2 linked regions of the Lonchura striata genome follow. The protein of the gene in region 2 purifies or fractionates together with the protein of the main gene of each other region. This does not show direct contact. Links are inferred from orthologs where the notes say so. Each region holds a gene or a part of one and is shown on either strand. Other genes may lie near its edges. The genes, in order: CRYAB and CASP3.

Evidence for each region.
Region 1: the proteins of CASP3 (region 2) and CRYAB purify together in Homo sapiens (affinity purification with western blotting; 3 studies listed by BioGRID). This does not show direct contact. The link is inferred for Lonchura striata from reciprocal best matches to the Homo sapiens genes CASP3 and CRYAB.

The regions. Positions count from the first base shown.
Region 1 is NC_134625.1:9,469,641-9,475,911, forward strand, and holds CRYAB (alpha-crystallin B chain), read right to left. Parts: upstream 3,613-6,271; 5' UTR 3,338-3,612; coding exon 3,140-3,337; intron 2,207-3,139; coding exon 2,084-2,206; intron 420-2,083; coding exon 216-419; 3' UTR 77-215; downstream 1-76. Other genes in the region: HSPB2 (heat shock protein beta-2), read left to right, coding at 5,363-5,456. UniProt on the Homo sapiens protein: May contribute to the transparency and refractive index of the lens. Has chaperone-like activity, preventing aggregation of various proteins under a wide range of stress conditions.
Region 2 is NC_134606.1:31,975,605-31,981,875, reverse strand, and holds the start of CASP3 (caspase-3), read right to left. Parts: upstream 3,771-6,271; 5' UTR 3,659-3,770; intron 1-3,658. Other genes in the region: PRIMPOL (DNA-directed primase/polymerase protein), read left to right, coding at 6,186-6,204. UniProt on the Homo sapiens protein: Thiol protease that acts as a major effector caspase involved in the execution phase of apoptosis. Following cleavage and activation by initiator caspases (CASP8, CASP9 and/or CASP10), mediates execution of apoptosis by catalyzing cleavage of many proteins.

The sequences.
Region 1 (6,271 bases), on a different chromosome or scaffold from region 2:
GGCACCCAAAAAATGATATTGCCCCACACCTTTGATCCACCTTTCTCAACGCAACCCAAAACAAACCAATCCAAGCTGCTTCTCCATGGTTTTATTCGTTAGTAAACTTACTCGGCATAAATAATACGAGCGGCTGTTGGGTACAGCCGGCCCGTGGCGGAGGAAGGAGCAGTGGGATGGCCCTGCAGGGTGGCCTGGGGCCAGCAGAGCAGCGCTCACTTCCTCTGGGCGCCTGCGATGGCCGGTTTGTCCTCGCGGGTGATGGGGATGCTGCGCTCGGGGACATCGCTCTGCTTGCGGGGAGCGCTGACGGTCAGCACCCCGTCCAGCGACAGCGAGGACGTGATGCTCAGCGGGTCCACGTCGTCCGGGATGCGGTATTTCCTGCTGAACTCCCTGGCGATGAAGCCGTGCTCGTCCTGAGCAAAAAAAAAAAACCCAAAAAATCCAGGAGAAAATCCTCACCGCGCAGCCTTTGGATTATTTGAATTAAGGAGACCCCGCCCGGTGCTGCTTTAACCACGGGGTGTTGGCTCCAAGGTTGGGGATGGGGAGTTGGGGCTCTCAAAGGGAAGTTTTCAGGGAGTTAAAAGGGTTTTGGAGATGAGGTGTCCTCTTCAAGGAGAGCAGGACACTGCCTGGGCTGCAGGTGCCTGTGGGTACACCGAGTTTACAGGGGGAGGTTCTGTGCCCACCCTGAAACAGAAACTTTAAGGGATTTAGAGATTTTAGAGGAGCTAAGATTTTAGTTAGAGATAAGCCTCACTAGAGTTAATTAAAATAAATGAGTAGGCCTCGATGAAGTTAAGAGTTAGTAGTTAACTAATAACTGATTGCTCGTCAGCACAATGTTGAGTTAGCTGGGTTTATAATGAAGAATATAAACTGATAAATTGCTTTTAGGAACATCAGACAATTGTGGGCCTCCTCTGCTCTGAAACCAACTGAAGACAAGGAATGGGAGTTCTACCAAAAGTTCATTTGTCATGTTGGCATTGAAAAGGTAGAAAGGTCAGAAGGAGGAAGACTTCATTGACTTCCTCATTTTGGGACCCCTCCCCATGGAAGGGACACCGACCCATTCCAAGAAACAAATTATGCATGCTTAATAACTTTTTGAAATGATTAGCATAGGAAGCGAGGAATGGGATGTACCAAAATGATGAATATGTATTTATATTTTAAATATTCAATACTTGTATGGATAAAAGGGCTCTGTAATCACTTGTAAGGCACAATGTGGATTTGGGAGCGATCCCACACACAATAAACACTCACTCTCTAACTTTAAACTGTTAGAGAGTTTTTGTCCATCACAGTTGGATATCGGTACTAGATCAACCCCTGTGCCAGCCAGAGGCTGCCCTGAGCTCTGTGCTGGCATTCCCGAGGTGCTGTCCACAACCACACCTGCCCCGGAGACCTCAAAGCCTGACCCCACTGCTTGCTTATCTTAGCCCAAAAAGGATGCCAGGAAGGTGCCAGGATCACAGACCCCAGTGCTACAGGGAGCACTGCACTCCCTGGTGGCACGCTGTGCTCCTAGGGGTGCCAATTCCAGGGACACAGCTGCTCTGGGGACTGGAAAATGCTGGTACATCCAGCTCTGGGCACGGCTTTGCGTTTCTGCCTGCCCAGTGTCCACACAGGTCTCCAGAGCCAGCAGGGAGAGGGATGGATGGCAGCAGAACACAACTTTGAAGGATTAGAAACTGCTAGCTGGGCCTGGGGAAGGTAACACACAGGGCAATGCACGGATTCATTACGTGGCTTGATTGATAGAGTTAATTTTTAGCTCGTTGGACGCCTCCCTGCATTCCTGGCCTCTTCCCAGAAAGAGGGGAAGCCCAAAAATGCCCATTTCACAGATGATTTTCCAGTTCAGTTCACAGCTCATGCAACATCAGCAATAAACCTCCACCCTCTTGCTGCCCTGTCTGGGATCAGCTGGGGGGAATTGCATGGAGCACCTTGACTAAAAAAATGACAAATATTTGAGGTGAGCAGGGGATTGTTTGGCAGTCACCAGAGGGGAGGGAGTTCACAGTGACTCCCTCGGTGGTGAAGGTAAAGCAGGGGGTACCTGGCGCTCCTCGTGCTTCCCGTGGATCTCGATCATGTCCCCGAGCACCTTCACCTTCAGCTCCTCAGGGGAGAAATGCTTCACATCCAGGTTCACATAAAATTTGTCCTTATCCAGTCGCATCTGCAAAAAAGTGGGAGGTGACTTCAGAGAAGAGCAAAAACCAGGAGGTGACTTCAGGGAAGATCAGGTGAGGGTTTCAGCTTAAAAAGGAATGCAGTAGGTCAAGACTCACGCTGGTCTCTACACACACACACACATACACACACACACTGACCCTTATTTTGGGATCTGATCTGAGTGGCTCTGTCCCTTGCTGGCCTTGTGTTAATGCCCATCACTTCAGGACCTGAGATTCTCCACCAGAATTGGTTAAAACTGCCTCTTTATTTAAAGCTGACTCTTTATTTTGGCTGCTTCACTAGGCAGCCAGACCGAGGTCACTAAATCAAGAAAGACATTATGCAAGGATTAAAATAATACTTTCACTCCTTCTGCTTGGAATAGCTCCTCAAGCTCCTTGCAAATAAGACAGTTGACTTGCAGGACAGGCAAAAGCCTCTTGGCTCAGCCCCTGGAGGGAGTAGGCGCCTGCTCCATGATCCTCTGGGTCCTGGATTTTATTAAAAAGCTGCTTTCCTGGGCAGGGATTGTCTGAAATAGGCCCCTTTTCCCTCAGCAGCCATTGGCGTGAGGATCCCACTGCCCCCGTGCTCTTTGCTTCTCATGTGGGAGTGGGATTGAAAGTTTGGTGCAGCGGGTTGGGAAATTAGGGAAATTAGAGAAATTAGGGAAATTAGGGAAATTAGGCTTCCTCCTTTGCTCTGCCAGCTCCTAGGGTGATCTGCCACGCACACTGAGCTCTGTTCCCATCGCTATGGCCAGACTTGCTCCATCCCAAGCAATGCAGAGGTGCAAACACAGCACCTTTTCCCCCAGCCTTTCTCCTAAAAAAAAAAAAACAACACCTAGGAGCATCTTCCAAGCTCTCAGCTCTCCTGGGCCTCCAGAGCCAGCAGGCTGTGCCCCCAGCAGCCACAAAGAAGCAAAGATTACCTCCGAGAGTCCTGTCTCTAGCCAACTGGGCATCCGAAGGATGGGGGATCTCATCAGGAAGGGGCTGAAGCTGGGGGAAACAGGGAGCAGCTCCGACTCGGGCAGGTGCTCCCCGAAAATCTGGTCAAAGATACGGCTCGGTGCCAACCAGGAGAAGAAAGGTCTGCGGATCAGGGGGTTGTGGATGGTGATATCCATTGGAGAGCGCTGGAGGAGCCTGGCCAACAACTGTGCTGCAGTGCCGTGCCGGGAGCGGGGACAGCTTTATACCCCGCAGCTGGCCTGGCCTTCCACCCCCCCGAGGCCTCTTGAACAGTGGTGTCAGGGATTTTATTGTCCCACTCCTGGGCTGGGCCCTTCGGCGGTGCCCAGTAGCTGTCTGAGGGATTTGTGCACGCTGCCGAGGAGGAGGAGGAGGAGGGGGAAGGGGAGAGGAAGAAGAGGAGCCCAATGGGGCAGCAAGAAGCCGCAGTGGCCCGGCGCCCGCCCCGCTGCCCACGTGCTGTTTGTCCACAGTCCCGGGCGGGTTTGGCCCGTGTTCCAGCTGCCCTGCATGCCAGCGGGATCAATGCAGCTCCTATCTTTGGCTCACAGGGACGGCGACAAGGGGCCCTTGTTCCCGGGACTCGGCTCCAGCATCACCCGCCGGGTCCCGGCGGCAAAGGGAGCCCCGAAATCGGGGCTAGGGAGGTGCCAGGAGGGCTCTGCTGGGATCCTGGCACTGCAGGGTGCAGCCCTGCCGCCCTCGTGGTGTGTGGGAATAAAGGATGGGTCTCCCCACCAGCACCTCTTGTCTTTTGGCCGCTGCGGAGCGCGTTGTTCTGGAGGGAAGAGCCCCACGCTGTGACCCCAGAGAGAAGCTGGGCATGGTCACGGCCTCCAGGGCACTGTACTGCACCCAGGGGTGCCGAGCACCTCTGTCTGCCTCTGCCTAACCTGCTTTCCTGCAGCTCTGCTCCTAAATCCGTGCATTTGCTTTAATTCCTGCCTCGCCCGTGAGCCCAAATCACAGGAATGGGTTCAGCCTGGCTTCTGCTGAAGGGCAAGAGCTTCTCTGCCCGTGAGAGCTCACAATTTAAACCCAGTTTCTGGCTCAGAGGCACTGCCAGCTCTGCCAACCCTTTGCAAAAGGCTCTGAGCCTCTTCCTCTCGGCTTGCCTGCAAGAATAGAGGGCAGGATTTGCTCTGTGCAGCAGCCCAGGCCATAAATACCCTCTCCGAGTCCCCGTCACATCAGCAGCACTGCACCTGCTCTCCCACCCTGCAGGGCTCAGGGAATCTCTGGTTTCAGGGCGTGCAGAACCCAGCTGGGCACTCCTGCCCTGCTGCAGCACCAGCAGCCCACCAGCCCTGCTCAGCAAAACTGGATTTGGGCCAGGTTCGGAGCCTGGGTGAGCTGGGGATGGCTGGCAGCAGCATTTCTCCGTGGCCTGGCCAAGGGAAGAGGCTGGGCAGCCAGCAGGGCTCAGCATGGGGAGGTGACAGCAGTGGCACCTGGATCCCTGCTCCACTCCCTGCAGCCCTAAAGGAGCAGAAGAGTTGAGCTCAGCTGGGCAAAGCAGGGTTCTTACGTGGGGAACAGGAGGGGTTTGAGCTGAACAAGCCCCAGCCACCCACGGGGGCTCAGGGCCACCGATTCCAGTGCCAGGGGCTCCCTGAGCCACCCCAAGGAGCCTCTCGGTGGCCACAGCCTGGGGTCTGTCCTGCTCCCTCAGCCCTGAGTGCTGGGCTGGGCTGCCCATGCACCCTTGCTCCAGAAGGGACCCCCAGAGGGTCCCCGAGGTGTCCCTGAAATGTCCCTGAGGTGTCCCTGAGGTGTTCCTGAAATGTCCCTGAGGTGTCCTTGAAGTGTCCCCGAGGTGTCCCCAAGGTGTACCCAAGGTGTCCCCGAGGTGTCCCCTGCCCTCCCTGCTGGAATGCAGTGAGAATCTTCCCTCGCCGCCCTGGCCCGGCGTCCTGGGGCCTGCACGGGGCTATTTTGGGCCATCTTTTTTATCACTGCCTCCTCCCTTTGGAATCCTCCCAGCTGGAGCCTGGCAGCCTGCAGCCTTCACTCGGAGAGGCAGCGAGGGCTGGGGAGGAAGGAAGGGAGGCAGGAAGGCAAGAAGGAAGGAAAGAAGGAAAGAGGAAGGAAGGCAAGAAGGAAGGAAAGAAGGAAGGAAAGAAGAAAAGAAGGAAGGAAAGAAGGAAAGCAAGAAGGAAGGTGCCCATCCTGCACACGCCATGGCTGCCCGCACGGTGCCCCACGCCTACCCCATGAGCTCTGAGTACGAGTTTGCCAACCCCAGCAAGATCTACGACCAGAACTTTGGAGAAGGTAAGGAAGTTGGTGGGATCCCCCCCTCTTTGCACCTTTCTCCCCTCTGCTGCTGGAGGGCTGCTGGAATTCCCACTGGGGAGCTTGAGCTCCAGAGGGGGAAGCTGGAGCTGCGGAATTTTGAGTGGAGGAACCCAGAGCAAATCAGAGGGGAACAGCCAGGGAATAAGCAGGGAATATCTAGGGAATAACCAGGGAATAGACAGGGAATAGCCAGGGAGAAACCAAGGAATAGCCAGGGAAAAACTAGGGAATAAGCAAGGAATAGCCAGGGATTAACCAGGGAATAGCCAGGGAATAGACAGGGAATAACCAAGGAATTGCCAGGGAATAGCCAGGGAAAAAGCAAGGAACAACCAGGGAAAAAGCAAGGAATAACCAGGGAATAAGCAAGGAATAACCAGGGAATAGCCAGGGAATAGCCAGGGAACAGCCAGGATCTCTCTCTTCATGTCCACTTCCCCATCCATGCCCACTGCTGCCCGTCCCGTCCCTCCCTCATGCCAGCCACGCTCTGGCATTCGTGCACATGCTGTGCAAACATGGAGCCAAAGCTCAGGGCAGGGGGGGAAGCTTTTCCAGCCGGGGGGATGTGGAGAAAAGCTGAGCTGGGGCGTTCAGCACAAAGCTGGGCATGGCTGGCCCAGGGGAAGGAATGTGGGCAGCAGCAGAACCATTCAGCACCAGCACAACAGCGTGAAAAGGCAAAAAGCTCCAAGGAAAGCCCTGTGGACAATGGCACACAAAAGGCCTTTAGCCCTTCAGGGCGGTTTCTTCACCATCAGCAGTTTCCATGCCCACCCCTGGCTGCGGGC
Region 2 (6,271 bases):
CTGTGTTTGACCTGTCACTATACCCTGCAGAGGACCAGATTGGACTGGGCTGTGGGAAGCAGGCACAAGGAATCAGACACTCTTCCTGGTGTTACCAGGAGGGAAGGAGAGGGATAGCTGCTGCTGGATCTCGGCAGCAGGCTCTGCACATCCCCCCAGCCTTGGGCTACCAGTGTGCCAGGAGGAAAGGAGAGGACGGTCTGCTGGGACTGCAGATACAGACTGGACACCTCTGCACCTCCGGCTGCCAGCGTGCCTCGGAGACTCCAGGGACAGACTGTCACCTTCTCACCCTTCGGCTACCGGAAAAGCTACAACACCCCCCTGCCGAGCTGACTTTTTAATAAAGAGCTGAACACTAATAAAGGCATAGACCCTGTCCATTTCAAGGTGCTCCAACCAAACTGCTGAACAGCAGCAGCCTTAACTAAGCAAACTGCAGACCCCTGCGAGCACTGAATGCTGCTTACAACGTAAATGTAAAGGCACGATGCAAACACTAAGAGAGATCTCCAACATTTAAGTGACCTTAAAATAAAACTTATCTCCTTGACCCTTTAGCAACCTTCAATTTTAAAGCTGTAAAACTGCTGTTCTTGATCCAGCATCAAAGAAACAATGAAACTGGAAGAAGTAGCTAGCAAAACCTACAATTCCAATCAATTATATTAGTTTCTTTCTGAAAAATTTAAATCACAACTTGTATCATAAAAATACTTCTTACTCTGCAAGCCTAGTTCAGAGTCTACAGTTACAGTTGTTCAGTGAAGTGTTAGAGCTTCCTGCACTCCATCACAACTGGAGCTTGTCTCAGAGACTTTACAGAAGCTATAGGGATTATCTAGAAAAACTGGTTATAACACGTTAAGTATTTGAAATGTGCATAGTTTCTCTTCAGAACAGAATCCATAACTCACTTTTAATATCCATCAGTTCCTGAGCACCCTCAGGCACCAGGTCACCTGCACTTCTTTAAAGAACAAAAGACACCCTAGGCACTCAAATGCGTGCCTGAATCAGCAGGGCATTTTGTGCTCTGAAGCAGGGTCACAGCAATGCTCTCTGGAGGATGCTGCTGATTCTAACAGGCCAGTAAGAATTGCCTCATCTTGCTTTAGGTAATGCAGTGATGCCATGCATTTCCCTGTGGAGGATGATCTCATCCTGGTGAGGGGAGGTGTGGGGGGAAGAAATCATTGCAGTGCTTTAAAAATTTATTACAAATTTTTATGCTGCTCTTTGATATTTTCTCTGAAAGCTTAGGTAAAACGAGGTTTCAAGTGTAAGGAAATATAAACAAGTTATTAAAAAGAGCAATAGCATTTTTATAATCTAGCAAAATATATTCTGTAGATTTTAGGAAGCTTATTTTATAATAGTGAGTCTGAAAAAAAATACAATTAAAAAAAAACATGATACAGAGACAGCAAACATAAAGGTGATGCTACAATGATCTTTACATATACTAGGTAATAAGAAATAAAGTGTCTCAAAAAGGTTCAAAGCTATGTTCTGCAAGCTACCAAGAAATGACCAATTCATCTCTGTACAGCAATAAGAGCAAAAAGATTTTTTCCCCTACATAAATGTAGTTATTCCAATACTTTTCTTTTGACAGGAAAACAATAAATAAAACAACTTTTTACTCCATTGCAGCCTGGATTTACTTATTCCACCTGGACCTAAAGAAAATTAATTCACATCATCATGTGTTACCACATGGTTACTTATGGTGGCCATAAAAACCATCAGTTTTTTCTTTTTAAAGCAATATTTCTTTGAAATGAGAACAACAGAAATGTGATAAAAATATATAGTGATAAAAATACCAAAGCTTCCGAGATGGGAGAAAGCAAATAACTAAACTGTCTTTAGTTACCAACTGGATCCTGAAATATGCAAACCACAGGAAACAACACATGTTCAGAATATATCTGTTGCTACAAAGCAATGAGTATAGCACTGCTAAAACATGCTCAAAACAGACATCAGCAATGTAAAACATCTTCTTAAAGATAGGAAAAGGGCAGTTTTCTACATCACATGAATGCAAGAGAAAATGTCAAGCATTTAAAGAAGGTATTTTTTGTAGACAAACATATACATGACATATCATGATACTAATGCAGACATGCAAATTAAAAATCTTCCCCTCTACAATGTATAATGCTAAACAATAATTATCTGACTAATAAGAGAAGGAAGATACAGAAGCAGACTATATGAAAAAACAAAAAACATCTGAAATACAGCATTACATTTTCTGTGAGACACTATCCCCCTGCTAAATACTGCTACCAAAGATGGAAGCAGGCCCATACTGAGACAGCTTTTCCCATTGCTTCTGGTCTGGATGTAGTTGCTGGAAAGTCCTGACACTGGGCCAGCATTCTGATCTTCCACAACAAACAGACTTTTAGGTACTCAGCATGAAGCTGTAAAATCAGCTGAAATTACTCCAAGTGTAGAAGGGACCTTGGAGTTATTAATTTACCTGTAGCTATTAATCACATCTATATATATATATAATCACACTGCTATAAGCAACAGCCATATCAGCTCCTTAACATGAAGGGCACGGTGTGCTAGTTTGAAACCTACCCCCTGGCAAGCAGATACCTGAAGGAGAGAGCTCTGAGTTACAGAGTAAAAGACAGACAGACGATAGATGGCCAGCCCTATCCTTCAGCCCAGCAGGGAACAGGCAGGACACAACACACGTCAGGGCGTGTTGCCTGCTACCAAAAGTTAGCCACAGTGCCTGCCAGGACCCCAGGCATGCTTTTCGTCAGTACAGACGAGGTTTAACACGCTTTGTTTCGGAAGATCCAAATACAGCTTCTGACCCCGTGTTTCCGGTTAATGGTCCACCGAGTGGTCACCAGAGAGCAGCTCAGAATTACAGCGCCTTTTTTTTCCCCTTCTCTTTGCCCTCTGTTTCTACAGCGTCCCCACAAAGACAGGCTGAAAGGGAACAAACTCGCTACCTTAAGCTTCTGGAAAGCTAACACCGGAGGCCCGGGCTCTGCCCCCGGGCAGGGGAAGCGGCGGGGGCTGAGATGGAGCCGCGGGCGCTGGGATGGGCACGGCGGGCGCTGGGATGGGCACGGCGGGCGCTGGGATGGGCACGGCGGGCGCTGGGATGGAGCCGCGGGCGCTGGGATGGGCACCGCGGGCGCTGGGATGGGCACCGCGGGCGCTGGGATGGGCACCGCGGGCGCTGGGATGGAGCCGCGGGCGCTGGGATGGAGCCGCGGGCGCTGGGATGGCGCCGCGGGCGCTGGGATGGCACGGCGGGCGCTGGGATGGAGCCGCGGGCGCTGGGATGGAGCCGCGGGCGCTCTCTCCCGCCTGGCCCGAGGGCCAGGCCGGGGCTCACCCGCCCCAGCACCGCCCGAGCGCCGGGCCTGCGGGGCCGGGAGCCCGGCGGGCAGACGGGGGAACGGCGCGCTCAGCCCGGCCCGCCCCGGCCAAACGCGGCTCCCCTCCTGCTCCCCGCTGCCGACTTCCTCCGGGACAAATGCTGGCGGCCACGCGGCCCTGGAGAGCCACAGCTTGGTCCACCCCCACCCCCACGGCTTTGTTCGGCTCCGCCGCCGCGCCCGCATCCCGGCACCGCCGCTTCCCGGCACCAATGCCCCTCACCGGCTTCACTCACCGGCTGCTCGCTGCGCTCTGAGCCGCGTTTTCCCGAGCGCCGCTCAGCCGAGCGCTGCCCCGAGCACAGAAAGCCCCGCCGCCGCCGCCCGGCCCGCCGGCGCCGCGCTGGCCCCGCCCCGCGCTGGGCGGGCGGCGCGCACCGGCGGCGGCGGCGGCGCGGGCCGTGAGTCGGGCCGGGGGAGCGGCGCGGGCCCGGCGGGCTCAGCTCGGCGGGCTCTGCGGGCTCTGCCGGCGGGAGGGAGACGTGCGAGGCCGCGCTGGGGAGGCACGGGGTGGCTGCTCTGCTCTGCTCTGCTGGCAGAGCTCGCGGGGCCGGGCCCTGTGGCGGAGCCACCGCGCTCGGAGCGCTGAGCCGGGTACGGCTGTCCTTGCTGCTCTTGGGTGTGAACGATGCGCTGTTGCTTGAGTTCCTCTGCCTGCTGAAACAAATGTAGCGTTCTAGTATATTACACCATGTTGGTGCGGCCTCATATTAAATGCTGTGTGCAGTTCTGGGCACCCTGAGGATGGTGAAGGGCATTTCCTCGTTGGGAAACCATAGGAGGAGCAGCTGAGGTCACTTAGTCTGTTCAGCCTGGAGAAGGGGAGGCTACGGGGAGACCTCATTGTGGTCTTCAGCATCCTTGTGAGCAGGCACTGATCCTTCTCTGTGGTGACCAGTGACAGGACCCGAGGGAACAGCCTGAAGATGTGTGAAGGGAGGTTGAGGTGGGATAATAGGAAAAGGTACATCACCCATAGGGTGGTTGGGCAATGGAACAGGCTCCCAGGGAACTGGTCACAGCACCAAGTGTGACAGAGTTCAAGGAGCATTTCGACAACATTCTCAGGTACATGGTGTGACTGTTGGCGGTGGCAACTCAGACTGTTCTGTGATTCTGACAGAATGGTGGTTTGTAAAGGAAATGGCCATCTAGAGCAATCTGTGGGGACAATAACTAAATGAGCAGCCCCCCCTCTTGACCTCAGTGAGCGAGATCCCCATGGATGAGCTGGCTTGTACCATGGCAGTACCTTCCCTTGGACAGGGTTTTCACCCACCTGCGTGGTGGCTGTCCCTGGCTGCCCACAGACCTGCCTCGCAGAACAACAGCGCTCTGACGCTGAGGCCTGATTTTGGCTTCATCAACTTTCAGGTCAGTTAGTTTCATATCTGTACACTGACCTTCAGTATCAGAAGTCAGATAACATTGGAAGCTATGTATTCCAGCTTCTGATAACAGGTACTAACCTACTTTTTCAGGTCTTATCACCAGGTCTGATCTACTGAGTTTTGCACTTGCAATCTTAATTTGAGGAACAGGTTGTCCAGAGGAGTTGTGGAGTCTTCCCCACTGGAAATACTCAGGAACTGACTGGACACAATCCTGTGCCATGTGCTCTAGGATGACCCCGCTTGAGCAGGGAAGTTGGACCAGATGACCCATTGTAGTCCCTTCCAACCTGAGCCATCCTGTGATTCTGTAAATGTAGAGGCAACTTCCTCTATTAGGAGGGCAAGATGAACATTTGTTATTGGGAAGATGAGTAGCGTTTGTTAATGTGACATTCATCAGATGAATGTAAGGATAGCTAATTTTCACTAATGTTAAGGAATTTAATGTGTTCTTCTAAGGCTGAATCAGTAGCTGGGAGAAAATCTCATGGATTTATTTTTGTCAAGGACCATGAACTCTGCCATAGAACTATGTTGCATGGTACACACCAGCCAGGAAACAAGTGTAATGTTATTTTGAGTAGCAGTTGATTTGCATGTCTGAGCTGCAGGTGTGTGTAATACGTTTTGCTGTTATAAGAAGTAAAGGGAGAATAGTCTTCCATAAAATAGAGAAAATTAAACAGCAAGTTCTTTAAATCATTGCTCAGGAGACATTTTTTCCAGGCTCTTCATGCAGTCATCCTGCTGAGTCAATAACACTGAAGTCCAAACATGTTTGTGACAAGATTTCTTTCAGTCAAGTCAAACAAAAATAAGTACTGCCCTTACTTCTGGTGGGACATAAGAGAGGAAGATGAAGTGAGAATTTCCCAGTGAACTCAGAAGGCTGATCTGTGTTAACTGTATGTGCTCTAAGTAGATGTGTTGTGTTATAGCTCACACAGGAATTGAAATTGCCTTGAAAAGACTTGACATGTTGGACTCTTGAGATATCGAGTGTTTGGACTGCAAGAACCATGATAGTTTCAGTTGAAAGTAAGGGTCATCACTCTTCTCCCAGGTTCAGGTCCTCCCAGCTGTGTTTCTGCAAAAATACGGCCTAATGTAACTAGAAAGTTTAAAATTAATAAAGAATTATGGGGCTTCTCCTTTGCTTTCATTTTTTAATGGTCACCTTGTGGGAAAATGCTGATGTAGGGATTTCTTTTGCACCTAGTTAATTTACAGCCAGCAGCGCCAAAATGAAACTGAAAGTTTTGTTAGCACTTCTGAGAAATGCTGATTGCTATCTATAATCTAACTTTTAATTCCCAGAGAAGAAACTAAGAGCATAGAAAAGGAGTGAAGAAAATGCACAGGTCAGAAGATGGACAAGGGGGATAGAGGTAATATGTTTGACCCCTGTTACAGAAAAAACATTCTGTTACTTAGACTTCATTCAGGCACTGACTA